Linked DNA regions of Mus musculus: all the other regions are reported to be linked to region 1. The links are microRNA targets in miRTarBase. Many come from high-throughput screens and were not tested one by one. Region 1 holds a microRNA gene; each other region holds the end of a gene's coding sequence.
The links. The annotated mature microRNA mmu-miR-1839-5p reads AAGGUAGAUAGAACAGGUCUUG and lies in region 1 at 4,022-4,043, opposite strand. An mRNA with a match to its seed (bases 2 to 7 or 8) in the 3' UTR can be bound and repressed. Matches are read on the target gene's strand: a 7mer-m8 pairs with bases 2 to 8, a 7mer-A1 pairs with bases 2 to 7 and ends in A, and an 8mer does both.

Region 2: the mRNA of Ecm2 is a reported target of mmu-miR-1839-5p. Seed matches in the 3' UTR shown: 8mer at 1,782-1,789, 7mer-A1 at 1,787-1,793, 7mer-A1 at 1,791-1,797, 7mer-A1 at 1,795-1,801, 7mer-A1 at 1,799-1,805, 7mer-A1 at 1,803-1,809 and 3 more.
Region 3: the mRNA of Eif2s1 is a reported target of mmu-miR-1839-5p. Seed matches in the 3' UTR shown: 7mer-A1 at 2,168-2,174.
Region 4: the mRNA of Prr23a3 is a reported target of mmu-miR-1839-5p. Seed matches in the 3' UTR shown: 7mer-m8 at 5,973-5,979 and 7mer-m8 at 5,656-5,662.

What each region holds. Positions count from the first base shown.
Region 1 is chr7:81,526,800-81,533,961 of GRCm38, reverse strand. It overlaps Mir1839 (microRNA 1839), which reads right to left and starts at 4,046; the gene lies at 3,974-4,046. It overlaps 2900076A07Rik (RIKEN cDNA 2900076A07 gene), which reads right to left. Exons shown (of 4, transcript NR_160675.1): 2 at 5,022-5,175; 3 at 4,435-4,615; 4 at 2,464-2,751.
Region 2 is chr13:49,530,684-49,537,683 of GRCm38, forward strand. It overlaps Ecm2 (extracellular matrix protein 2, female organ and adipocyte specific), which reads left to right. Exons shown (of 10, transcript NM_001012324.3): 10 at 580-2,106. The coding sequence ends at 748. The region is part of intron 5 of Cenpp (centromere protein P); the gene reads right to left. Among named protein-coding and RNA genes, the nearest start is that of Aspn, 10 kb to the right of the region's middle.
Region 3 is chr12:78,883,545-78,890,706 of GRCm38, forward strand. Eif2s1 (eukaryotic translation initiation factor 2, subunit 1 alpha) reads left to right here. Exons shown (of 8, transcript NM_026114.3): 8 at 1,247-3,466. The coding sequence ends at 1,372. It overlaps Plek2 (pleckstrin 2), which reads right to left. Exons shown (of 9, transcript NM_013738.3): 8 at 6,368-6,446; 9 at 5,153-5,763. The coding sequence ends at 5,636. Among named protein-coding and RNA genes, the nearest start is that of Plek2, 20 kb to the right of the region's middle.
Region 4 is chr9:98,864,825-98,871,986 of GRCm38, reverse strand. It overlaps Prr23a3 (proline rich 23A, member 3), which reads right to left. Exons shown (of 1, transcript NM_028033.1): 1 at 5,407-7,162. The coding sequence starts at 6,992. The coding sequence ends at 6,228. It also overlaps the pseudogene Gm5920. Among named protein-coding and RNA genes, the nearest start is that of Prr23a3, 3.6 kb to the right of the region's middle.

The DNA of each region.
Region 1 (7,162 bases):
AGAGTTTTGGATTAACAGCTTTTAACAAAGGAGATTTCAAGACAGCCTGGTATTGACCCTGCTATAAGGCTACGAGTGACTACTCTTATTCATATCTATAGTGAAAAGGAGTAAGGGGAACAGGAACAGTACAAAATGTAAAGTTTGAGTAGAAAAGGAAGACCAGGAAATGATTTGTTAGAGCCAAGTACTGGGCTCAAGGGGACAAGGTTAAAGAAAAGCCAGGTGCTAACTGGAATAAAGGAATTGTGACCTCAGGGCAACACCACACCCCCCTAAGCTTCCAACCTGTGAAAGGAATCAAAGGAAAGCTTGAGCAGTAAAGGAAGCCATCAACAGGAAGCTAGTGCAGACTGTAACTGAGAGAGGGGGTCAAGTTCCAGCCCCAGCAAGCAGAACTTGGCAGCTTCAGCCATGTGGTTCTTTCTGGCTTTAGAGTTAAGAATATAAGACAAGAGGTTGTGGAATCTTCCTTCACAGTTAAAGACAGCCACTTAGTCCAGGTGTGTCAGGAGTGTCCCTGTGTGGAGGCCCAAAAAGGATATGAAATAATTGTAAAGGTGATACCTGATTGGAAACCTCATGGTGTTGGAGATACCAGACACATGGGACACCTGCCAAGGACAGCTGCTAAGAGGGTATGGAACACATGAGAGAGAGAGAGAGAGAGAGAGAGAGAGAGAGAGAGAGAGAGAGAGAGAGAGAGAGAGAGAGAGAGAGAGAAAGAGAGAGAGAGAGCGCACTGCAGTCAACAAAGCTGAAAGGAGTTGGACAGTAGACATGGAGATGCAGGACTGGAGTTAGCCTTGTTAGATTTAGGTCTTGCTTTGGTCCAGTATTTCCTCACTATTCTCCTTTTCCTTCCTGATGGAATGGTAACTAGCATCTATTCTGTGCCACTGTATGTTGGAAGGATGTGATCTCTTTTTTTATTTTGATCTTATGGGTGATACAGTTAAGAGATTACCATGTATCGCAGAAGAAACTTTGGACTTGAAAACAGTGTTAGTGTTGTGACAGCAATAGAAGAGTGACTAAGACAACCATCTATCTAGCCCAGTGTTTCCTAACAAAAGCTGGCAGCAGCACGGCAAAATGCACACTGTTGAAACACGCTGTCTTCTGCTTCATGGTGGTTCTAACTCCACTCTAACTCTGAAATTACGTCCAAGATGCCTAAAGGCAGAGACTGTGTGCCTTGTTTATAACTTGACTTTGGGGGCTAACATGCCGTCAGCTGCATGCCAATACATGCTGCCTAAAGAAGCACCTTCTTCACGCTCCACTGCTCTTGGCTTCATGTTGCTCTTGGTGGGAAAGATGGCAGGGAGGAGAAAAATCTTAAGGGAGGCAGTGTGAAGAACAGAAGCTACCTGTGGCTCACTGGAGAGTTACTGCCATGCCCACACACACAATCTACTTGTGATTGGGGTGAATGGAGTCCCGAGGAAGGGGCTCAGATAGATGGAGATAAGAGAAAGAGCATTAGCTAGGATTCATCAAGGAACCATCAAGAAGTGAAAAAGCAGTGGATTTGAAGCCAAGGACTGGGTCCAACTGCTATTTTGTATCTACTTGCCTAAAACCTACAGACCAGTGCTCCCCATCAAACAAAGGAAAGACTGTATTTGTCTCATAAGGATGTGATGCTTCATCTAAACCTAAGTGCCAAGTAATGAGTGACATACTGTATATTTATGATGTTTCAAGGCAATCATCAGCTCACCGAAGTCAAAGCTGGGCCCTAGGGAGAGGAACGCACTGTAGCCAGCAGCTCTTGGGTGCCCTGCCTCACTGTCTTCAGCTAAGGACCATGGTGCCTGTCTCCACCAGCTCCATTGCTGGCTCCCCTGTTCACATTTCCAATCCCCAACTCAAGTCACTGTCAAAGCTTAGCACTCCAGCTGCAGAGTAATAACTTCACTTGAGAAAAACCAGGACACTGTTGAGTACCAAGTCCCCTGATGCCGCCAACGCAGGTGTGTCCTACTCACTGCCCAGGGAGACACTCTTCTCTTTAGAATTTTGTTTTCTAGCCCACCCTAATTCTGATGCAGTAACAACTCTCGTCTCCTTCTGGACTCTACTAGTGCAAGCAGCAGCTCAGATTCCTGATTTATCACTTGCCCACAGAGCTTGTCTGTCTGTCTGTGTCTCTCTGTCTCTCTTTCTCACACACACACACACACACACACACACACACACACACACACACACACACACAACTTCTTCTTACCCTGACATAAGGCACTGCAGATGTAAACACAAGCTGGCTGAAGCTGTTAATGAAATATGCATGTGTATTTAGTGAAAGAAGTTCTCTACTACTGAAATAGAAACCACCAAATGGGAAACGTGGATCACAGGCATGGGCAGTTTGAGTTGTCTACTGGGATTCCTGCACTGCTTTGCACATAACACAAATATGGGGACATGACTAAAACATAATACCCAAAAAATTTTGATAGTTTTTTTTTTATTTAACAAGATATCTTTGACATTTAAAATTTACTGGAGTAAGGGATAACCAACTTCAAGCATCACAGTTACTAACCATAAAGAACTTTGTTTAAGCATGTTATCTTTAGGAAGAAAAATAAATCTTAAAAAAAAAAAATGAGGGGGGAAACCCTGCTGGGTCTGTGATATATTCCAAGTCCTTATAATCCCATGTAGAAGCTGATGAAACTCAATTTCAAACAGGGGCAAGGTTTACCTCATGGCCATGTGCAGCTGCAACCTCTGATAAATCTGTTAAAACACAAAACAGATAAACATTTAAAAACATTTTTTTATATGTGAGTATCTGTATGTTTGTTTGAGATAGGGTCTCACTATGTAGCCCTGGGGGGCCTATAACTCGGCCAGGCTAGCCTTGAACTCCACGCTCAACATAGAAAAGTATCTTTAACACTGAGACCACTGTCACACGACCCTGATACTAAGCAGATAAACCAAACTCCATCAACATCCGCTCTTCTCCCGCTTTACCTGCCCCACCGCGTTAACTCTTGACTGAGTGAGCGCACGGGTGTTGGCTCCACACCCTAGCAAAGGGGAGAGAGTCTGTAAAGCCTTCACAGGACGTGGGTGGAAACTGCAAGCATTTAAAAGCCACACTACCCAGAACATAACAAGTAGCAGAGAGAAGGAACAAGTAGTTAGGAACATGGGCTATAAAACAGCATTGGCTTCTGGTAAACTAAATAGCTTTCATTCACAGAATTACTTTTTTTGTTTTGGACTTTGTTGGTGGTGGTGGCTATTTGGTTTGGGTTTTTTGAGACAGTGTCTCACCAGGTAGCCCAAGATGACCTTACACTTGTGGCAAGCCTCCTGCTTCAGCTTCTCAAATGCTGAGATTACATGCATGAGCCACTATAAATGGCAAAAAATTGGTATGTTTAATGGCTGGCTCCTGGGGCTGGTAAGGGTACTTGTTACCAAACCTGAGGACCTGAGTTCAATCCCCAAATCCGACACCATGGAAGGAGAGTTGTCTTTGAACTTCATGTGTGCCACGGCACATAAGCCCCCTCTTCACTCTTCATCACACACACACACACACATACACACACACACACATATCAGCTCCCTGCCTTTTCAAATGATGGTAATCACTTGTGCACATGAAATAAAATATTTCTGAAGCGTGTACTTGCCCTTTAGTACAAACAGAACCAGTTTATGGGCAGCTGGGCGTCTCAGCGTCTCACCCTCACATCTGGTACAACTACTGCCCTACGTGACCCACCTACAATTCATTGTGATGCAGAATTGTGTAAGTGACAATACACTTTTTGGATTCCTCAAACCTGCATTATAGGAAACAAGTTCTCAACTTTCTAACCCGCCTGTCTGACCTCCAAGCACCTTTCTATCACTAGTAGAGACTGTGTCCACTCTGGCTTTCCCAGCCTTCCTCATCTAGGAGTTCACTGCACCCACTTCTTGTAGGAAGACTGTGGGACGTAGGCAATGGCTGTTGGTAGATAAGTAGGTCTTGAATTTATTTTGCAAACAAGACCTGTTCTATCTACCTTTTCATGTAGGAGGCTAAAGGCAGAGTCAGCTTGACTTCAAGGACTCTATTGTCTTAGTCTCCAGAAGAATATGACTAAATCCACCTATTGTTTTAACTGAGCATGCCTGGAATCCCAGAACTTAGAAGGTAGAGTCAGGAAGATCAAGGGTTCAAGGTAATCCTATGCTCAATAGCAAGTCTAAAGCCAGCCTGTGCTGCATGAGACCCTGTCTGAAGAAACTAAACTAGAAGTTAGGCATGCTGGCTCAACCCTGTAATCTTGGCACTTAGCAGGCTGAAGCAGGAGGACTGCCAAGTCTAAGTCAGGACAACAAAATGAGACCCCAGTCTTAAACCCTTGTGTTACAGACAAGATCTTTAAGAGCCATGAACGCTGAAGACATGCTTACCTTACTGTCAATGGTTAACAGAGCTAAACGCAAGGCAACAGTTTGCCTGTCGGTATCTGCCATCAGCAAGGAGAGTACCCATGACATGGCACCATTGCCACCAAAAGAACCGCTGCTGCCTGGGTCCTGTCAGTTCACTGTGTGCCACCACATCACTGTTGGTTTTCTGCTGACACCAATCCTGGAATAAATGAGGTTAGACTCACCGTTTGACTTTCCTTCCTTTTCTCAAGCTCTAACAGAATATGGTTTCTCGTGTTCTCACTTACTCAAATTTGGCAGAACTAACCCATCATTTTTTTATAAATTATTTTTCCATAAGCCGCCAGCATTTTGCCTCTGCCATTTCCTTGCACATGGCAAACATTAATCTAAGGGGAGAGAAGCAGCAAGAGCGAAACAGGAAGTGAAAACAAGGCCGGCACACTGGGAAAAGTGTAAGACTCCGTACTGTCTTATTACCATGTACACTGTATAAGCCATCAACTAGGAGATCCCTAACACCTACAGCGCAGCTCCTCCTGTCCTCCTGATGGCTCTAAATCACCTCTGAGACGCACTGGCTGACTCCCACCTCTCACACTCACCGTTTACAGAACACTCAAGTGTTGATATTGCGACCACTGGCTTGTGTCTTCTCCACTTGAATTACACACATCTAAGGCATGGGTGTGGCTGCATATTCTCTGCATGACCCAAGGCAACAACTGCCCTGGGCTTTCAGGTAATACATATATATACCTGAAGAGAGAAATGAGACATCAACTTATCCCACAAATCAAAGGAAAGCTTTTCCATTAGAAATCAAAGCAGCCGTCCAGTGTATGCTCTTGGGGCTGTGGGATGAGGCTAAGTTGTCTTCTGTCCTAATACCTAGGGGTCTGACACAGTCCCTCAGTAATTGTAGTTACTTCTGATCTGTGCAGAGAATGAGTGTGGAAGGACCAAGGCTGGTGCTGGATGTCATTAGTACAAGAGAGCTCTGACACTCACATTTAATACTTGCTGTAGCATTGACTATTCCTAAGATAACCCGAAGGTCTATCATATGTTATTTTACAAGCTCTGAATCATAAATTTGGTTCATAATTCTTGGTCCAGATAAATGTATAAATATTCCTCTAACCCACTAAGTTTAACCACCTACCTGACATTTTAAGCATGTCTTAGTTTGGTTTTTATTGCTGTGAAAGACACTATGACCAAGGCAACTTTTACTTGGACAACATTTACTTGGGGCTGGCTTACAGTTTCAGAGGTTTAGTTCATTATGATCAAGGCCGGAAGCATGGCAGTGTGCAGACAGACGCCAAAAGTTCTACATCTTGATCCACAGGCAGCAGAAGGAGACTGTATGTCACACTGGGTGTAACTTGAGCATAGGAGACATCATAGCCTGTCCTCACAGTGACACAATTCATCCAACAAGGCCATACCAACTCTAACTAGGCCACACCTCCAAAAAGTGCCACTCCCTATAGGTAAGCATTCAAACACTTATACCTATTCAAACTATCTCAAGGTACAACGTAAGACATATTGGCTATTTTTAGTTTACTGTAGAGGGCACAGAGCCCTGGTGCTCACATATAAGCACCAGGGAAACCAGGAATGTTAAACACGCGGAGCTGTCTCTTCAGAGGAAAAGATGTCTAACCTATTCTCTGCCCAGAAGGCTGAGAATGGATGTTGTTAAAAGCCCGGTGACCTCTGTGCTATTTGTAGGGCCAGGCCACACCTGTCTCCATCCCTTAAAAACAGAACTGGAGATGGTTAATAGTGTAGTGACCTTTGCACTATCTGTATGACTGAGACCACATCCAGAGCCTGGAGATCTTCTCCAAGACCCTGAAGATAATGCATGTAGTCTATACAGACTCCATGATGGATTCTATACCTACCATGAAGAAGTGACACATACTTTGAAAAGAGTTTCAAGGTAACCATGCCCTACCGGCACATGGAGTTATACAAGGAAACATTTTCCAAACTGTACTATATAAAATATACCTTAAATAAACCACCGGGTCAGACTCACAGAGTTTGACATGACACTGCTGGCCATGGTGTTTGCAGAAAAACACCACAACTCTCTCACCCCTCCCCTCTTATTTATAAACTAAGTTGATTTTGTTTGTTTGTTTGTTTTGTAGAGGAAAACAAACAAACACCCTGTAAAGGTAATAACAAAGTTGTAAAACCATAGCTATTTTCTGGATTACTTCTTAAATGTGAAGTACCTTTAAAAATCATTTTATAGACTCTCTCACTAAGTGACATAAAACAACAATTAAAGTAACTCAGTCCTTAGTAACAGTTCTTCAAGATAAATGACCAAATTTAAATATTCCCTGAGGGCAGAACCCAAGCAGAAGCACTCTTCATTACTGAAATCTCATCCTTTTCTAACAAGGCAATAGATAGTCAATATTTTCATAGTGGAATTCCTTAACTGACAAAATTTCTACATAAGAGATCATGGGCAGGGCATGGTGGTGCACACCTTTAATCCCAGCACTTGAGAGGCAGAGGCAGGTAGATTTCTGAGTTTGAGGCCAGCCTGGTCTACAGAGTGAGTTCCAGGACAGCCAGGGCTACACAGAGAAACCCTGTCTCGAAAAACAAAACAAACAAACAAAAAAACAAGATAAAGATCATGGGTTCTCCCCTCCTCCCCAACTTTGATCAAACTCAGGGCTTTGTCCACACCAGGTACCGGCCATACCAG
Region 2 (7,000 bases), not on the chromosome of region 1:
ACTATACTGAAATTCCCATGTAATACAGAAAGTGACCTGCAGAGTACAAAAGTTGTCTAAAGATAAGAGTTTTACTAAGGCAAATTCTGAAGGAATTTATTGGCTCTCAGCTTCCTTCAGTGTGGGGGGCATGTTTCTATGTGTTTAATTATTACACCAGCCTAGGCAGCATGGGCGATGAGAAGTCTTGACTACACCTACTCAGTAAGAGAGGTTCCGGTTTCAGATCAACCTTTAGGAAGAACCCCTTCACCTTGCAGGCTGCAACGATGCTCCATTAGAGCGCTCCTGTAGCTTCATTTCTTACACTTGCCTCTACTGTCTCTACTGTTGCCCCCATCCCACACCTTTTGAGACCTGACCTTACTTTAGACCAGGCTGTCCTGGAACTCAGTTGAGTAGTGAATGTAAGCTCACTGCAATTCTTTATTAAGTTCCTGAGTACCGCAATTACAAATGTGAGTTACCATGTCATCCCTAACTACATTTTAAGAGCTAAAACGTTTTAAAAGCTTAGCTTCTAAATTCTAAACTTTGATCCTTGGACTACTTATAATTTATACGTGTATCTTTCCTTAGGAATATTCATCCTGAGCAAATCTGCAATGCTGAAGAGGATGAGGACTCAGCTCTCGAGCATCTTCATCTTGAAAACAATTATATTAGAACTAGAGAGATATCATCCTATGCATTTTCATGCATAAGACTGTATTCAAGTATTGTTCTTAAACCACAACACATCAAGTGATTTCAAGCTTCCTTCTGCCATTATTGTTTTTTGTTTGTTTGTTTTCTGAGACAGGGTTTCTCTGTGTAGCTCTGGCTGTCCTGGAACTCACTTTGTAGACCAGACTGGCCTCGAACTCAGAAATCCACCTGTTTTTGCCTCCCAAGTGCTAGGATTAAAGGCGTGCGCCACCACCGCCCGGCACCTTCTGCCATTTATAAATTTTACTGAAGCATTAACAAAATTACGTCTCTTTTATTGTGTGTGTGTGTTTCTGTATGTGTTTGTGCACATGAGTTCTGTGCTCTCAGTAACCAGAAGAAGGTGTTGGTTGCCCTGGAGCTGGAGTTACAAGTGGTTCTGAGCCAGTTGATAAGTGTGCTGTAAAATGAACTTGGGTATGTGGTAAGAGCAGTACATGTTCTTAACTGCTTGATCCATGTCTCCAGTCTCCAAAACACCATTCTAATGCTAATTTCTTGGTTTAAATAATTTTACAGTGGTTACATATACACACTGGTAATGGTAAGGAAAGCTAGCAGAAGGGCATACAAAAATTCTACACTATAAGTCTAGAATTAGTTTTCAAAGTTAAAATAAAGCCATTTCAAGACTGCTTTCATTCTGCAGCAAGATAAAAAAATTAGAAAAAGTAAACTGAGCATGGTGGCACATGCCTTTAACCCCAGCGCTGTGAGACAGAGGCCAAAGGATCTCAGTGAGTATGAGGCCAGCCGGGTCTATATAGTGAGATCCAGGACAGCCTGAACTATGTAAAGACCCTATCTCAAAAAAAGACTACAAAATGTAAGCACTCTTCTAAAAATACAAATTACTGTTAATTATAAGCTGACATAAATGTAAATACAACTCATTCCTACACTAGTTATATAGTTAGCAACCATCTCTTTTGCCAGTTACTAAAATATACTTTTTATCAGTTTAATGAACAAAGTAGCACTCATTACACACTGACTTGTAATGATTTCTTTTAATGTAAACCTGATCGATCGATCGATCGATCGATCTATCTATCTATCTATCTATCTATCTATCTACCTACCTACCTACCTACCTACCTACCTACCTACCTGTCTGTCTATGATCTAGCTATTAAGAGAGACTCTTACTGTATAGCTCTGGCTGGCCTGGCACTTAACCAGGTGCAAGGATTAAAGGCATGTGCAATCTTTGATCTCTGTATTTATACAAAATTTTATATAATATATATAGAAACTCTGTTGATTTCTTTTATTAACTCTTAAATTATTGTTCTGAAGAAATACTAGTGTCATGACTTAAGCTCTAGCTTTGGGATCTACCTTAGTTTCTTTTCCTGTTACTGTGATAAAAATACCTCAATAAAAGCTAACTCAAAGAAGAAAGGGTTTATTTTGTTGCAAAGATTAGGAGTACAGTCCATCATGAGGCAAGGAAGTCAAGGGAACAGGAGAATGAAACAGCTGGTCCCATTGTGTTTAAAATCAGGAATTACAGGCAAAGACTGCTTGTGCTCAGGTCAAAGGGAACTCGGGCTCAGTGAGATGAGCCAATGGAATTATTTAATACAACAGTGGAAGCTATTAAATAATTTACTTTGTATCCACACACTCTCTTTTCAAATGGGGTCTCACTCTGTAGCTCAGGCTGCCTTGGAACTCACAATGGTCCTTCTGAATTTCTGCTTCCCAAGGTCAGGATTACAGGTATGCAACACCTGTCACCCTTACGGTGACTTTCTTCAGCTGCATTATGATGCCACTTCAGAGAGCAAATATCAAACATAACTGAGAAGTTGTCTCCTTTCCTGTAGGAATGTAAGCAGAAAATCAAGGACCAGGCAAGAGCTGTCAATCAGCTAATCAGGGTGATGAAAAGAACATACCAGCCCAGGCTTCCCTGGTCAGGGCCTGAGAGTGCTCTGGAATATGGGCCACAGTCAGCAGCCTGCACAGAAAAGATGGCATATGCAGCAGCAGATACAGATAACCCAACTGTGGTAAGGTGCAGAATCCCCTATAAAGCTAAAAATCAGAATGACAGTTAGAACTTTGCCCTGAATTTGGAAGATTCATTTATTTCAACTGGTTTTATACTTTTGTGAACATTTCCAGCATGGAACCTGTTCAGTCTTGAAATTTCATCATGTTCTGAATGGGATGCTTTAATTACATAGAAATAGTGATAAATGTCCTTACAGCAAACCCTCCTCTTGATAACAAACAGATGTTCAGTCTGGTCTCGTAAATCTGCTGTAATCACTAGCACATATGTGAACTAAGGAAGTCTTAGAATAAGAATGGTCAAGAAAACATTAATGTCATATCTTGACATTCCACATATGTACAAAGAATGCTATCTGTATTTTTAATTTTGAGATTTGGATTATTGTACATGACTATTTAAAAAACACTAAGATCTGATTTAGTGGGAAACATATATAGCTTGGTGCTGTAAAGAAATAAATATATCAGAAACCAGAGAAAGACCTAAAATATTATGGTTTGAATAGATCAGAGGATCAGATCACACAAGGCTCATGGGGGATCTAGGTCACTGATAAGGAAGTAAACAGTGGCCATTTGCAAGAGAATAGGCTGAACCGCTTGTAGTACAAGCAAGAGATGGGAGGAGAGTAAAGTCAGGAAGTCATAGGGTAGGTGGATGAATGTATGGGTGAGGACACATGCTTTCAGTTAGCCTACCCTCATCTCAAGGCACAGGTGAAGAAGCCAAGTTCACAATTGTCTCTATGACGTAAGCCTCTGTCTTTCCAAAGCTAGCTTCCAAGCACAGGAAGAACGGTACCTAACCTCTGACTCTTTGGGAAGCTCCCTTCAGCTTCATGCTTATGTTAACATAACAACTCAGGTCAGATCTGGGTTTATTAACTATGTCTAATTGACTACCTGGTATTTCTAGTGAGGTATGATGTCTTTATGTATGGGAGTGCTGCATGAGAACTAGGTGGAGAGGTATATTGTGCTTTTCAAAAAACTAAAATTCAGGAGAAAATTAAGAATTCATCTTGAACCCTTGCGTGCTGTACATATCAGGCAATAAAAACAGGCATTGACTAAACAAAGAATTTTGTCTTCCTGGTTCCTTCCCAGTGCAAAATGGATCAATTCATTGGTTATCCAAAGTTAATACAAATACTAACCCTCTCCAAAAAAACTCCCCCAAACCCAACCAAACAACAAAAACAAAACAGAAAGGAATCTGAAGAAAAAGTAAGCATTTTCAAAAGAAATATGAGATATTAAATAGAAAAAAGGTCACAGAGTCATAAATTTAATCAGAAATAAATTTTCTTACTACTCTTTCCTAACCGTGTATTTTTAATTTTGTGTAGATGTGTGGGAATGTGCACATGTGTGTAGGTGCCCACAGAGGCCAGAGCATCAAATTCTTCTAGAACTGGGTTATAGGTTGTTGTGAGCTGCTCCATGTGGGTGCTGAGAACTTAACTGTGCCCTCTCAACAGCACACAACGTAACTGCTAAGGTAGTGTTCTAGCCCAGATTGTGTTCTTTAAACAATTAAATCATGTTTTGACAACTGGAAATACTTAGTATTCACTATGGTTGCTCTGCATCACGGTCCTTCCAAAGCCATCATTTAAACATAGCATGAATTACTATGTTTCTAAGCTGATGATTTAATGAAATACTCAAATTCTGCAGTTTAAGGGAAATCTCAAAGGGCGGTGTAAATAAAACCCTATATGGTATCAGCTCTATCTTTTCCTCTTACTTAGGGGAAGAGTAAAATTTTCCTCAGAGAAGAATTTATAAACTGACATGACTGAACTAATTCTTTGTTTATGGTTGCATATCAGCTCAGATCACTGATTGATTCTAAAAACTTTAAAAATATTAAAAGAACTCATTACAAGAAATGTCATCTCTAATCTAATGCCAGAAAATCATAAGCTGCCCCTAAGCATTAGATTCTGTTAAACACTGTAACTTCGGTACTTAAAAAACAAACTTTGAATACCCAAGATAAAATTTGCAAAACACATGAAACTCAAGAAAAATGAAGACCAAGGTGTGGATACTTCGTCCCTCCTTAGAATGGGGAACAAAATACCCATGGAAGGAGTTACAGAGACAAAGTTTGGAGCTGAGATGGAAGGAAGGACCATGCAGAGACTGCCCCATCCGGGGATCCATACCATAATCAACCATCTAAGGTAGACACTATTGCATATGCCAGCAAGATTTTGCTGGCATGACCCTGATATAGCTGTCTCTTGTGAGGCTATGCCAGTGCCTGGCAAATACAGAAGTGGATTTGGATGGAACACAGGGCCCCCAATGGAGGAGCTAGAGAAAGTACCCAAGGAGCTGAAGGGGTCTGTAACCCTATAGGAGGAACAGCAATATGAACTAACCAGTACCCCCTGAGCTCGTGTCTCTAGCTGCATATGTAACAGAAGATGGCCTAATTGCCATAATTGGGAGGAGAGACCCTTGGTCTTGCAAAGATAATATGCCCCAATACAGGGGAATGCCAGGGCCAGAAGGCGGGAGTGGGTGGGTTGGGGAGCAGGGCAGGGGGAGGGTATAGGGGACTTTCGGGATAGCATTTGAATTGTAAATGAAGAAAATACCTAATAAAAATTGTTCAAGTAAAAAAAATATTAAAAAAAAACCCAAAAAACAAAAATGAACTTGGGAACTGGGAACTGAAATTTGAGTACTACAAAAGAACACACATGATATGCACTCACTGATAAGTGGATATAGGCCCAAAAGCTTGGAATACCCAAGATATAATTCACAGACCACATGAAGCTCAAGAAGAAAGAAGACCAAAGTGTGGGTGCTTCGATCCTTCTTAGAAGGGGTAACAAAATACTCACGGGAGCAATACGGAGACAAAGTGTGGTGCAGAGACTGAAGAGAAAGGCCATCAGAGACTGCCCTACCTGGGGATCCATCCCATATACAGTCACCAAATGCAGATACTATTGTGGATGCCAAGAAGTACACGCTAACAGGAGCCTGAAATAGCTGTCTCCTGAGAGGCTCTGCCAGAGCCTGACATATACAGAGGCAGATGCTCACAGACAACCATTGAACTGATCATGGGGTCCCCAATGGAGGAGTTAAGAGTAAGGCCTGAAGGAGCTAAAGGGGTTTGCAACCCCATAGGAAGAACAACAATATCAACCAACCAGAGCTCCCAGGGTCTAAACCACCAAACAAAGAGTATACATGGAGGGACCCAGGGCTCCAGCTGCATATGTAGCAGAGGATGGCCTTGTTGGGCATCAATGGAAAAAGAGGGCCTTGGTCTTGTAAAGGCTTGATGCCCCAGTGTAGGGGGATTTAAAGGAAGGGAGGTGAGAGTGGGTGGGTGGGAGCACACCCTTATAGAAGAAGGGGGTGGGGGGAATGGGATAGGGAGTTTCTGGGGGGAGGGGAAATCAGGGAAGGGGATAACATTTGAAATGTAAATAAATAAAATATCCAATAAAAAAGAAACGTAAAAAATAAATTAATTAAATTAATTAAAAAACAAGGAAGTGCTGAGTCTAAGGCTGAGTTGTCAAAGTGCGTTATCAATGTCTTTATCCAGAGACTTCAGCAAACAGGGACACTGGGAATTAAATGAATTGCTAGTTGCCAGGCCTTTTGAAGGGTAGATATTGCTATCTAAAGTAGCATTTCATTAGATAAACAGTGAAGGAAAGAACAGGCCAAGGACACTAGGGCAGTACTCAGCACAGTGCTTTGTACTGGGCCAGAGAGTAAACTCCCAAGGCTTCTTGGCTGGCCAGGAAGGCTTGAATAGGGAACCTAGCCATGCCAGCAGCTATGCCATGCCAAACCATGGCTCTCCTGAAGAGCAGGTGGGGAATCAACAACAAAACTCAAGTGTGACCAACCATCTTTTCAGTGTGGCATAGCATGTTTGTGTTCACTACTAAGGACTGTGAACTATGGTGTAGAACATCTCTGCTCTGGACTTCAGGCTAAAAGAGCATATTAAGTATAGTCATTAAATTCAGAGTCTAAAGTACTTCTCATCCTAGATTTGAAACAAACAAACAAACAGCTCAGAGGTGAAGACCAATTATTGCTCTTGCAAAGGACCCCAACTTAGTTCTCAGCTCACAACCATCTAGAACTTTAGTTCTGGGAAATACAATGCTCTCTTCTGATTTCTGTGGGCACTGTATGTGGTGCACTTACACACATACATGCAGGCAAAACACTCATGCACACACATACAAAATAAATCTAAAAAAAATTTTAAGAA
Region 3 (7,162 bases), not on the chromosome of region 1:
ATCTACTTAACTTCATTTTTTTTTTTTAGTATGTATGCCCAGGTACACTGACCCCTGGGTGCACATATGAAGGTCAGATTAGTGTTGGATATCCTTTATCTTGTTTTCTTGAGACTCCCTGAACCTAGAGCTGAAGATGCCCCTGTCATCACTCCTACCTCTAGGTCACAGGTACATTCCACTATGTCCAGCTTTACCTATGGCTGGTGGTAGGGCTTATGCAGAAATTACTTCACCTTTTCAACTTCTTAGTGCTTTTGAAAATGTCAGATAGGGTGCCAGCAAAAAATGGCTCAGTAGTAAAGGCCCTGGCTGCCAAACATGGTGACTTAGAATCTGGTGTCCAGGACCTTTATGTTAGAGAAAATGACTCCTAAAATTTGAAAAGCACACCGTGGCAATGCATTCCCACACACACAAGTATTGTCGTTTGGATGTGATTGAGTTGGATGTGATGGTTTGTGCCGATTGTCTCTGCACTTGGGAAACTGAGACCAGAATGATTGCCTGAAGTTCAGAGGCTGCCTTATCAGCATATCAAAGCTACCTGCCCAGTCACATATAGTTGGGAATAAAAAATTTGAGTAATTGTTTGTACAGAATATTTCTAAAAAGGGTTTTGTCTGTAATAAAACACTGTTAGCACTGGAATGCCATATGGGATAGACATTTGTGCTAGTGCTGGGGTTTTCCCCTCATGGAGAAAAATTTGCTGGGCATAGTATGACACAAACCTATAATTTCAGCATTGGGAGGCAGAGGCAGAAGTACTGGCTTGTTATTTACATAGGGAATCCTGTTTCAAACATAAAATAATCTGTCTTTCTCTCAATATGAACAAGACCTAATTTCCATATGCTGTATATCTGTGTGTATAGATGTTTCGATCTCTGAGGAAGGATAATAATTTATCTGGAGCCCAAAATATTCATTTTAAAAAAAAACAAAAAAACAACAGGCCATTTGGTGGTCTTCTGCTGTGATCAGTGAACTCGTTTTCAGTTGAGCTTATTAAAATGGCAGGAAGTATTATTCCACTGTAGTGTATACTGCTTCCTTGGATGGTCTTGAATTTTCTTAACTTTCAGCTGATAGAACTTATTCAGTGGTGAGTCAGCACAGGTATGACTGAATTTTGTTAGAAATGAATTTTTTGTTGTTAAATTTTAAACATTGGTCAGTAATACTATTGAAGTCAAATCTACTCTGCTGTTTACTTTATTTTGAAATTGTGCCTCTTCCACAGCCCAAAGTGGTCACAGATACAGATGAGACTGAACTTGCAAGGCAGCTGGAACGGCTGGAGAGAGAAAATGCAGAAGTGGATGGAGATGATGATGCAGAAGAAATGGAAGCCAAAGCTGAAGATTAACGTTTTGGCAAACAGTCCAATTTAAGGAGTACGAAGCAGCCCTTCCTGGCTGTCAACCCTAGACTTGAGAGTTTTCCAGTATTGAAAACTTCAAAGCTGAATATTTTTATTTCCAAGTATTTAAGTATTCAACAAGCCAGAATCTAAATGCCCTCCTTCATGTCAGCTGTTTCCACATAGTGGCTCTAACACCTCAAGCATTTTTCAAGGGAGTGGCTTGATTTGACCAGAGACAAATCTTAAACAGCAGTCCTAATATTGGGCCTACAGTTTCCATTTCTCATGTCTCTGGAATGGCACCCTTATGGTTCAGAGATTTACCAGGGACTCCAAACACAAACAATCCCAATCTTTCTATATAAAATGTATTCAAGCAAACATCAAATAAATTTCTGGGATATTTAATTGTAGGCTTCTTCCTTCTTGTCACAAGTTAAAGCCAATCTGAATGCTCAGATCCTAATTATCTTCATATGGTAGAACTCAATGGGCAAGTAACTAAATGACTTATGCAGGAACAGACTCTCCAAAGGAATGTTAGAGAAGAAATTAGGAATTTGACCCCTGGTAGAGAAAAACCTTGAAATCAATTAAAGATTTATGTGCCTGTTAACTTACTTGAAAGCAGTGATAACTTGTGTGAGAAGTCATCACACTCAGTCCCTTTGGTTTATTCTAAGCTACTTACCTTGAATTCATAATTCAAGGGGTATTTTAATGTGCTGCTGCTTTGATGGAGTTATTTTGAGCAGCATCACCCATCTGAAGGGGACAGTTTCCTCTATCTGGTAGGTGCTACCTAATTCTTGAGTTGTGTGTATGTGTGTGTGTGTGTGTATATATACATACATGGTTTTATATATATATAAACCACACATGATGTGATTTAACAAAATTTTTAATCCCATTTTTACCTTCTCAAACTAGCTACTTTAAAGGTTAATGTGCAAAATAATTTTTTCAAATAACACAAAGTTACAGCTACAATATCACATGTAGAAAGTCTTCATTTAGTTTGGCATGCTTATCTTAGGATATGTATACTATTTATTATCTGTAAGCAAACTTGAAACTAAGTCAGTCCAGGACTAGACATCATGGGAAGAGTTCTAGAGTTGGGTACAGAAGCACATGCTGATGGCTCCAGTACTTGGAAAGTTGAGGAGGGAAAATTCCTTGAGCCAAGAGTTGCTGATCAGCCTGGACAACCACTGCAAGACTCTGTATCAAAAGGATTGGAAATTAGAATGTTGAGAGATGTTTTATGCCATTTATGAAAGTTCTTTTGTTTAATCTACTGGTCTAACCTTGTGTGACCCATTTCCGAGGAGCCATGCTTGCTAGTCTGCATACCATGTTGCTAGTATTTAGGGACTCTGAATGTACTCCAGATTGGCTGACTACAGCAGTGGTTCTCAACCTTCCTAATGCTGGGACCTGTCGATACAGGTCTTCACATTGAGGTGACCCCCCAACCATAAAGTTATTTTTGTTACCACTTCATAACTTTAATTTTGCTACTATTATGAATCATAATATAAATATCTGGTTTTTGATGGTCTAGAACAACCACTGGTCATGCATCAAGAAGCAAGTTTAGGGCCAGGTATGGTAGTGCATGCCTTTAGTCCCATCATAGACAGTGGCAGTTGGATCTCTGAGTTCAAGGCATAGCTGGTCTATATATACCAAGTTACAGGTCACCTAAGACTGCATAGTGAGACTGTCTCAATTTTTTTTTCAAGTTTATAAAAGAACATGAAGGTGTTACCAAAGCTGCAATAGTAACTGTAATCTCAGATAATTCAGAGACAGAATACACATATTTTAAGGATTTAGAAATATAGCTAAGTTGGCCTGGTGCATAGCTAGCAAGTCAAGGCCCTGGGATCAATCCCCATTACCACAGAAGAAAAAATGTATTATCAAGTATAGCAAGCGCCCTTTTCCTAGGGATTGTTTACTGAAAAGTTTTATATTTAAGAGAACAATTTAGTCAGGTTGGTGGCATATATCTTTAATTCCAGTACTTGGGAGGCTAGCCTAGTTTTCAAAGCAAGTTCCAGCGCTGTTACACAGAGAAACCCTGTCTCCAAAAAAAAATTTAAGCCAGCCAGCCATGGTAGTGCACACCTTAAATCAGAGCAGTCTCAAGACTGGGTCTACAAAGCAAGTTCCAAATCAGCCAGGCTACACAGAGAAACACTGTCTCAAAGAATTAGAAATAGCTTATGGCTCCGTGATAGATTTTAATCTATCTGAGCTTTGTTGCTAGGTTCTACAGTTGTGTAAAATGCTGACTAGCCTGGGAGATCAATACTGCAGTGATCCTGTGATGAAAAGAACAAACTAAGACACATTAGGCCAGGCAGACTCACCCAGCTGTGAGACTGAACAGTGTAAACAACACACAGAACTTACATATCTTGGTTCTCCCACCAAAGCCTTCTCATTAAAAATGCTAATAGTTCTGTTTTCCTTCTGCCATCGATTACAGTCATATGGTCCTTAATTTATACAACAAAATAAATAGACTTCATGACTCCTAACAATGATTTGAAACTAACTAAAACGAAACATTGAAACTGCTTTTTTTAATTAGTTTTATAACCAAACATAGCCAATTTTCATGAATATGTTCCAAGTTTTGGGGGGTTTATTTTGTTTGGTTGATTGGGGTTGTGTGTGGGGGGGGGTATTTCAAGATGTTCAGGTTCTTAACTGGAGCTCTAGAGATGTGCTGATCTTTGGGCCACTACTTAGCTATTGTACACCAGCCCATTTGTGTCCTGGGCATTTTTTTTTTTTTTTTTTTACAACGAGAACAATTAAAATGAGTAGGCATGAAAAAAAGCTGGGTCTAGCTAGACCTTGCCAGCTCCACTGCTTTGTCTCAAGCCAGTGCTCATCTGTTTTAGAACCCTTGAGAATCCTCTCACCCATAGCTATGGGAAGCAGGAAGCTATCAAGCCAAATGTAGTTTAATTCCGATAAGCACCTGTCAACATTCTAAAAGTAACTCTAGGTACATTAAACCTGGAAAGATGCCAAATGAAAAAAACGGTGCTTGAAAAGGCAGTCTCTTACAAAGTAAGGAGTAAAGGGAGAAACAGACAAGTTCTTGGGATTCCAAACACGGGGTCAGATATTCCAGACGTTAAGAGGAAATCTATTTTAAGAGAAGTTTTTACTTAGACACTTTAGAAATATCCACTCCCCTTAAATGTAAGTCATGTATTTTATCTATTAAAGTCCAAGCCATTGTCCTTGGCAAGAATCCTGGCCATCACTGCCAGATCACTGTATACATTTAATAAAAAATATTTATAAAAACACTGTATGATACAGACTTGTCACTTTAACCCCCAACTGGGGATGAGCTAATGTTCATTTTTAGACCAAAGTTTTATACCTTGAGTTAACTTTTGTCATTTGTATCCTTGTCGTTTGGAGAGCTGAGGCTCCACATCTTTCTAAATGTCCATTTTATATAAAAAAAAAAAAAAAAGCTGTATTTCTGCCTTTTAAAAAATATCTGCGACAGATTTCAAGAGTATGACATCTGCAACTTGTGATACCTACTGTCTTACAGTACAAGACAAACAGTATCCTCTGAACAGACATCTGTTTGTCAGCATCCCCACTTTAAAGTGAGAAACATCATCCTGGTGACAGATCACCAGAGATTCCTCCACAACCAGCTTCCGTAATACATAGGGCCTCACAGGTTAGAAACCTGTGGGAACCAGAGAACTAACTACAAGAACCATAACAGTCAGGGACAGATGTCATTCTTTATTAATCCCAGAGATACTGAGTTGTTGAAATCAGTTGAGAGAGAGTCTTGAGACTAGAGTATTTAATACAGAAAACCGGAGTTAGTGTTCCAACAGAGAAAGAGGTACTACTATTGTCCCCAAAGACAGATTTCTGTCCTGAAGAGCAAAGTCAAGATGCTGCCCACCTAACAGCTGGTCCATCTTTTAAAGTTGGTCATAGGAAGGCAGAAGGAAATCATCGCATCCCCGCTGTCATCTGAGGAGCCACTTTGGGCAGTCTTACTCCAAAGCCATGCAACATTTATAATGATAAGGTTTTTTTGTTGTTGTTTTGTTTTTTTAACAGTACCAAGAATTGAACTCAGGATGGCCAGGCAAGTCCTCCACCACTGAGCCACATCCCCAGCCCAGTATCTTGTACTCCAGTTCTCCAGGAAGTCTTATCTGTATCCAATGATGAGAACCCTGGTCCCGCTCCTTTAGATCATGTTAGCTTCTTGATAGCTTCAATCCATTCTGCTCGCTCAGCCTTGCTGCTGGCCTGGATATAATAGTGTGTGTCATCCTTCGTAATCACTTTGAAGAGATTTCCTTGGACATTCCCTTTAACTCCTACACAGGGGAGAGGAAAAGTATTGAATATCCATGTCAACTTCCAGCTTGTATTTCCACTCCCTATAGCCATAAGGTCTGCCAGTGGTTATTCTAAAAGTTTGCAGCTTGCTTGCTTGCTCCTGTGCTACTCACAGACCTACAGTTTCACATCAAAGAATCTCCTAAATGTATGTTTTAAAGAAGCACATAATTTGATGTTTACTTTGGACTGGTTTTGAACTTCAGTTTCTATACCTACAAGTCAAAATGTTGCTACTTTCCTACCATAGCTGGGGATTGTAAAATCAGTACAAACAGAAAATGACGGCATTCTTTAACATGAAAACACCGTGTCCCTTAGCTGTAACTTAGATGGACGTTTACAGGCCATCAGCACAGAAACTGAGAGTAAAGAATATCAAAAGAAAGGATTGTTCTGTTGATTCTTGAAACAGCAAGAACATCCCATATAACCTTTTACTTAATTTTTTAAATGGGTGTCAAAAATGACATCATTGACTCACTGAGAAAAGTTCTGCTCAGGGTTTCCTTCCAAGGCCATCAATAACATGCAGATGGTGGCCCCAGGGATCTTTAAGCCAGAGCAGAAGTTGTAGCTTACCAGTAGGAACACCATTATCCTCCAGAGCAGACACAAGGGAACCACGAAGAGAAAACCCACCTACTGGCCTGTTCTCTTCCTGTGGAGGAAGAGACTAGTCAGTAATTTCATGAACACACACACACACAAAGACCCATCCTCCAATAACTGATCTGTAAGCCTTGTAGAGCCACTCCAAATTATCTATAATAAAGGAGGCTGAACTTGGGCATCTTGCCCAAGTAACTTAAACCAGTGAGGCAGTTTGGGCCTCTTCATGACCAGTAGCAGCAGTGCCATTAAGTTACCAACATTCTGTAGACTGATCCAACATTCTACCAGAAGCATGCACTGGCTTCCTTAACCTTTGTCCTGCACATTGGACGTTTGTTATGTAAGTCTTTAGTTATGTGCTTGGTATGAAACAAGATTGGGTTTATGGTATCTGGATGGTTAAAGAGCAACTTGACATACCAGGAGCCTCAGCCCTTGATCCCTTCTTTTAATAATCAATACTAAATGGTGGCTTCAGCAGACAAAAGCTAAAGCAGTTACTAACAATGCAGAGGTGTTGACTAAGATACCAGAGAAGGGAAACAACACAAAGAAGGGATCCAGCATGGTGGGAGTCTACAGCAGGCAGTCTCAACCAGAGACTGAATAGGCCTTGAGAAACAGATCCTGGGTACTGACATGGATTTAGCCCAGCAGTAGGAAGCACAAAGCAAAGAAAACATGAGAGTAGATGAATAGCAAAAGGCCCTGGACTCATCAAGGGCACAAAGTAGTTGAGGTTAACTAAGAGTTAAATGCAAA
Region 4 (7,162 bases), not on the chromosome of region 1:
TGTAGCCGGCCCTGAAGCTTTGCTATAAGAGTTGTCACACAGAGACTTTCCCCCAGAGTTCTACTATGTTTAAATGTGTGGAAAAATTAAAACATAGGATCAGAGTCCAGAAGTCTTGATCCAATCTGACCAAGTCTGGCTATACCAAGTTTTCATTCTTATCTATCCTGGGTCCACTTTTCCTGCCAGTGGCAATACCTGCAGAAACGCCTCAACAGATGTTGGCATTTTTAGAAGAGTTTTGCCCATTAGTATTGCTCTTTCATAGTTGAGAACTGCTGACATACTATCAATGTAGTAGAATATAAAACTTGAAAACACAGACATTGAAGGAATCATTGGTATTTTTGCTTTATGCTCTCTGGCAGGATTGTTCTGTAAGCAGACGAATAAATAGCTGTGTCCCTCACAAAGCTGGAATGAACCAAAGTGAAAAGGACGGTTCCCAGGCAGCATCTGTCAGTATGTCAGAGTGCTAGTGCTTCCTTCTAAACAGGATGACCAAGTCATTCCAGTTCATCTTTTCCATCATCCTACCTGCCTAGAACTCATGTGTAACTGTGATATAGCTACCTTCCCAGGTATATTGGCAGGTGTGTGTGTGTGTGTGTGATCTCAGAACACACAGGTAATGTGATGTGACCTATGACAACTGGTAATGGTGGATTCATTTACATTGTTTACACTTCTATGACCAGGCCTTAGGGGAAGGTCAGTTTTTTAAAAACCAAGTAGTGTCTTCCTACCTGTCCCCAAGTACAAGGTAAAACAGAAGGCTGTTGGCTTCAGCTTTCTTTTTTTTTTTTGCTCAGTAATACAGTCAAGCAGGAGTTTGTTTGCAAATGAAAGCTGTGTAAGCATTTTTGTTTATTTCAAATAAAATATATTTGTATTATAAAAAAAAAGAAACCCAAAAAACAAAAAAAATCCTCCAAAACCAAAAGATCAACCAAACCAACCAGACAAAAAAAAAAACCCCAAACAAAACACAAACAAACAAAAACCCTTCAAAGCAACGAGGTAACCCAACACAATGAAGAATAAATAAAAAGGTAAGATGTATTAAATTAACACCCACAAACAAGCCCAGGCCTGTGACTTTAAGGGAAAGTACTTTTGTTTTCTTTAAAAAAATTTTTTTTTCAATACATGGTTTCTCTGTGTAGCCCTGGCTGTCCTGGAATTCGTTCTGTAGACCCGGCTGGCCTTGAACTCACAGAAATCCACCTGCCTCTGCCTCCTCTGAGTGTTGAGATGAACAGCATGTGCCACCACCACCCAGCTATGGGGTAGTTTTAGAACAAAGAAGCAAACATCCTGGAAAATGAAGATAATCTTGAAATGAGTTTTCTCACAGAAACACTATGAATAGAATTCTGGAAGGAATTAGTTATGTCATAACTCCATCTTATAGTGTTAAGATAGTATGAGTATGGTCATGTGGCTGAGAAATGTCTCTTAAATGTTCATCAATTTGCACACTTGCTTCCCAGTGGGTGGCACTATTTAAGGAGGTTCTGGAACCTTTAGGAAGTGGAACCTCTCTGGAGGGAAGTCACCTGGGGGGTGGCTTTGAGGACTTTTATAGCCTTCTATCGTCTCTCTGCTTCCTGGTTGTGGATGTTAAAGTTAAAATAAATTCTTTCTCCCTTATATTGCTTTGGGTCAAGGTATTTTATCACAGTAATGAAAAGGTAACTGATACAATGAGTCGCAAGAGGTAAACTGAGCTCTGCAGTCATATATCTGGTTGGATTTTCAACATGAGGACAGATGAGATGCTCAGAGACTGAGGGTTTTGTGTGTGTGTGTGTGTGTACTGGCTAGTTTTGTGTCAACTTGACACAGCTGGAGTTATCACAGAGACAGGAGCTTCAGTTGAGGAAGTGCCTCCATGAGATACAACTGTAAGGCATTTTCTCAATTAGTGATCAAGGGGGAAAGGCCCCTTGTGGGTGGTGCCATCTCTGGGCTGGTAGTCTTGGGTTCTATAAGAGAGCAGGCTGAGTAAGCCAGGGGAGGCAAGCTAGTAAGGAACATCCCTCCATGGCCTCTGCATCAGCTCCTGCTCCCTGCCCTGCTTGAGTTCCAGTCCTGACTTCCTTTGGTGATGAACAGCAGCATGGAAGTGTAAGCCGAATAAACCCTTTCCTCCCCAACTTGCTTCTTGGTCATGATGTTTGTGCAGGAATAGAAACCCTGACTAAGGCAAATTGGTACCAGCGGAGTGGGGTATTCCTGTGACAACCTGACCATGTTTTGGGGAGGACTGAGGAAGGACTTTGGAACTTTGGGCTTGAAGATCCATCCGTTGTTAAGAGCTCTGTCGGATGTTGTGTAGGAGCTTGGAAGATAATGTTGAGAACACTGCAGAAGATGAAGGTCTGGTTTGTGAAATTTCAGAGGGAAAAATTAAAGACTCTTTTCAGGGCCATTGCTGTTTTGATTGTGAAGATTCTGTAGTTCTGGTTAGCTGGGGCTGAAGAATCAGCTGTGATTAACAAGATACCAGAACTAATAAAGCAAAAACTTTGCATTACTGGGACTATTGATGCTGGCTAGCTGGAGCTAAGAAATTAGCGGTGATTAAGAAGAGACCAGCATCATTGAGGTGACATCTTTTGGGAAGTGTTTTCTGAAAGCACAAAGAGGCTGTGTTCCAGAGATGGCCAAGGTTGTACTCCTGCTGCAGCGGGACTTGGTAATGTGTAAGGGTCACCCAGGTGGTACTGGTTTTGAAGGCATGAAGGGGTCACGCAGAGCAGCTGAGGCTCAGCACTGTGAGAGGCCATGGAAGGCCATTGGTGAAAGTGCAGCCTCAGTTGCAGTTGAAGGCCCAGGACTGAAGGGGTCATGCAGTGTTTTGGAGATGCCAGTACCATGAGATGACCACCAAGAGCAGCAGCAGCAGTGGAGTACAGGCATCTGGAGCCTAGAGGACTACGCGTGTGCTACAAGGGGCATGGCTAGAGAAGTGACCCAAGCCCTTGGAGGAGCCCAGAAGATCGTGAGTTGGATCCCAGACACTGGACGGTTGGATATTGATTTTTGCTTTGATTGTGACTGTGCCCTGATATTTTCCCTCTTGAAGGAAGAAACTGTTTTAGTGAAGCCCACAGTTAAGAGACTTTTAATTGTAAAACGAGTTTGGATTTTAAAAGAGATGGATATTTTAAAGAGATTGAAAATTTAAGAATATGTAAAGACTGTGGGACTTTTAAAGTTATTTAGATCTTGGGGATGAACAAGAATGTAAGGGTTGAGGCTTACTAGTGATGTGTTTGTGTGTCAAGTTGACAAGGGGTCAATTGTACTGGCTAGTTTTGTGTCAACTTGACACAGCTGGAGTTATCACAGAGAAAGGAGCTTCAGTTGAGGAAATGCTTCCATGAGATCCAACTGTAAGGCATTTTCTCAATTAGTGATCAAGGGGGAAAGGCCCCTTGTGGGTGGTGCCATCTCTGGGCTGGTAGTCTTGGGTTCTATAAGAGAGCAGGCTGAGTAAGCCAGGTGAGGCAAGCTAGTAAGGAACATCCCTCCATGGCCTCTGCATCAGCTCCTGCTCCCTGCCCTGCTTGAGTTCCAGTCCTGACTTCCTTTGGTGATGAACAGCAGCATGGAAGTGTAAGCCGAATAAACCCTTTCCTCTCCAACTTGCTTCTTGGTCATGATGTTTGTGCAGGAATAGAAACCCTGACTAAGGCAGTGTGTGAGATTTTAGGTAAGTGATAATTCTCAACATCCACAGTCAACTACATTCAGCCAAGCCAAATAGAAATAATATCGTCATAGACACATTATAATCAAACTATGTGACACGAAAACCCAACAAATATTTGAAGTAAAATGAAGGCAGATGTGGCTTTTACAGATTTTACACACCTGTAATCCTGGGACTTGGGAGGCTGAAGCAGGAGGGTGGGGACTTCCGGACCAGCCTGGACTACACAGAACTTGTCACAAAACAAAAGCAGGCCACGAATAAAACACTTCAAACCCTTAAAACTAAGATGTACAATACCCCCACATATAAAATAGTGATATTTTGATTGGTTGGTTACACAACCATTTAGATAAAAAGATGGTGAAACACTGGATTAATAAATTTAAAGTAGTCAAATATTATGCTAGAGAAACTACATTTAGGATCAAGGGCTGAGGGGAGAGATGGGGAAGAGACGCCTCACCCTCCACAATGGTGGCTAGAAACCTCAAGTCAGTCCAAGGGACATGCTAACAAGATGGATGAAGTTTCAGACAGAAACAAATGAAAAGGGAGAAGAAAGTGCTAGAAGCTGAAAGGGAAGCCTGCAGGGAAAGGCCCTGGCCACAGGTGGAATTAAGAAGACTGGCATTAAAAACTAGTTTTTATTTATTTATTTTTGGTGTGAATACTGATGACCCTCCATTCAGTCTGCTTTCATTTAAGTTTCTGGATGCCCAGCCAGTATTTTTTTTTTTTTCCAAATTCTTCCACCAGTATCTGGAATGTAGCATTGTGTTGGAGTCCACTGTACATTTAAGAATTATACAGTGGTTTATTGTCTATTTATTTCCACTTGGCCATTCCTATTTCACGTTTAAATAAAATGAGTACGGAATGAAACATTTTCAAGCATAAAATCCTAAGAGTTTTTGGACTATAGAACCAAGGCAGGACAGACATAATGGAGATAATTGTTAAATAAATAAATATACATATACATATACATATATATATATACACACACACACACACACACACACACACACACACACACACACATACATATAACTGTTAAAGCCTATCTCTGGGGCTGGTGGGATGGGATCATCAGGCAGAAGTACTCACTCTACAAGCCTGACAATTGGAAGCCTGATAACTGATCTCCTGAGTCCACGGTAGAGGGAGAGAACTGACTCCCAAGTTGTCCTGTGATTTTTCACAGGTGTGTTGTGGCAGACACTCGATGACACGCATGGTCCTGGGCTCACACACAAATCACACACACTCAGTCAAATACACATCAATGATAAATTAAACAATAAAAAAAAGTTGTATGTAAGAGCTACACTCTGGCCAATAACCTTAGCTTCTAGGGTGGCTCCTGTGGAGGACTTCATTTTCAAGGTGGGTCTGGGCTACAGAATGAGTTTAAAGCTAACCCAAGCAGCTTAGTGAGACCCTGTCTCAAAATAAAGAGTAAGTAAGGAGAGAGCTAGGGATGTACATGTATTTGAGCGCTTGCCCAGTATGTGTGAGATCCTAGGTTAAATCTGTATTAATGCAAAAAGAAATTAAAAGCAGATTAGTAGTAGCAAGATAAAAATTGAGGTTAGCCTGAGAACAAAGAGGGAATTTGGTAAAATAGGTTGACAAAACTGAACAGCTAAAAGCTGAACAGCTATGATTTTTGACTCACCTTTACCAGGGACATTTATTTTATTTTTATAAAACAAGATAAATATGACCATTGCATACAAAACATTACAAATTAGGTTTATAAGAGCAAAAATTGGTTCAGAATTTAAAACAAAACAATAACGTGGAATAATAGTAATGTAAACATTTTCCACCAGTTTAGGTGAAATCTTGAAGCGAATGTACTATAAAAAGAAACCCAAGCCTGGCAGAGTGGCGCAAGACTTCGATCCCAGCACTTGGGAGGCAGAGGCAGGTAGATCTCTGCGAGTTCAAGACCAGCCTCTATTACATAGTTCTAAGAAAGCCACAGATTTCTAATGAGATCCTGACTAATCACAAACTAAACAAAGATTAAAAAACAAAGAAAACAAATGCATATCCCAGCGCATGCTGAAAACAGCCGGCAAACTTCACCATGAATCACACTTACAATGAAGGAACTGAAATGGGAGACTATTCCAAGGAGCTTTGGAGATGGCTTTGAACCCTGTACATGCAAGTGAGGTAACCATTATAGCACATGATGGTGTTGGGTAGTTTTCTAGGAGAGTAGCCCGGAACAACAGAGAGGTAGATAAGTCGTGTCCAAATCCTCAAAAATTCACGGGAAAACACTAAAGGCCACCAAGAACTTAAGACACCTACTAATTTCTTTGTTAGAGAAGAAACAGGTGTTGGGGATTTTACCACTTGAATTTCTAGGAACTTTTAGGGCCTCGGGAAGAGTCCTTTGGGTCAGCAAGGCTTTAATTCTAACATCATGGGGCCTAAGTGCCTTGCAACTAGGGGTAGAGAAGCCCCTCAAAGATTTGTGCAGGGCAGTTCATTCATAGACCAGTCGCTTCCGGGCCCTGCGAGGAGCCCGGGGAGAGCATGGAGGGCATGGCGGAAGCTGCTCTTGGGGATTCCGGGAAGGAGATGGAGGCAGAGGCTGCAGTGGTGAGCCAGGGAAGGGTCCCAGCATGTTGATGTCCAGTTCCCAGATGAACCTAGGAGAATATTGCTCTGCTCCAGTGGAAGGCCCTGGGACTTGGTCCTGAGACAAAGGACTGGGCACCCCTGGGATGGAGGAAAAGTTCCCATTGGCCTGATCATCTGGAGGGCTAGCCCAGTGCTCCAGAAATTCCAAGTCTGCATCCTCATCACAGACATCCTCTTGGTAGAAGTACTCACAGAAAGTTTCCTCCTGGAGACCGACTAGATGATCCTGGGGCCCGTCCTGGGCAGCGGCTCCCTGCGGGCTGATGGCCACGAATCCAGGCTGTCCAAAATGGGTGGAGTCTTGGAGCCCCTCGGGGACCAGGAGGATGGTGTGTCCTTGGAGCGACACTTGCAGTACCGAGGTGGGCTCTGGCTCCAGCAGCAGGTCGACGCCGTCCAGGGGCAACTGCAGGGCAGAGCCGGCGGCCAGGAACACCACGGAGGTGGTGGGCTCGGCGGGCGCTTCCAACTCGGGCTGAGCCAGGGGCTCTGGGCACGCGGGCTCCTGGTGGAGGCGGCGGCGCTTGGCAGGGCTGGGTGCTGGTGTCTGCGGTGACCAGCAGGGCGCGGGGTCGGCGCTGGGGCTGCGGGGCCTGGTGCGCAGCATGATGGACGGCTCTGTGGGGCTGGAGAGGCGCGGGTGCGGGGTGCAGAGCGGGCAGGTGCGACGGCGCGGGCGGAGCGGCTACAGTCTCGTGCTCTGCAGCTCTGCGCTTGGCCTAGTGGATATTGCGTACGCAAGGTGGGTCACTTACTAGATGCCAATCAATTTTCAGA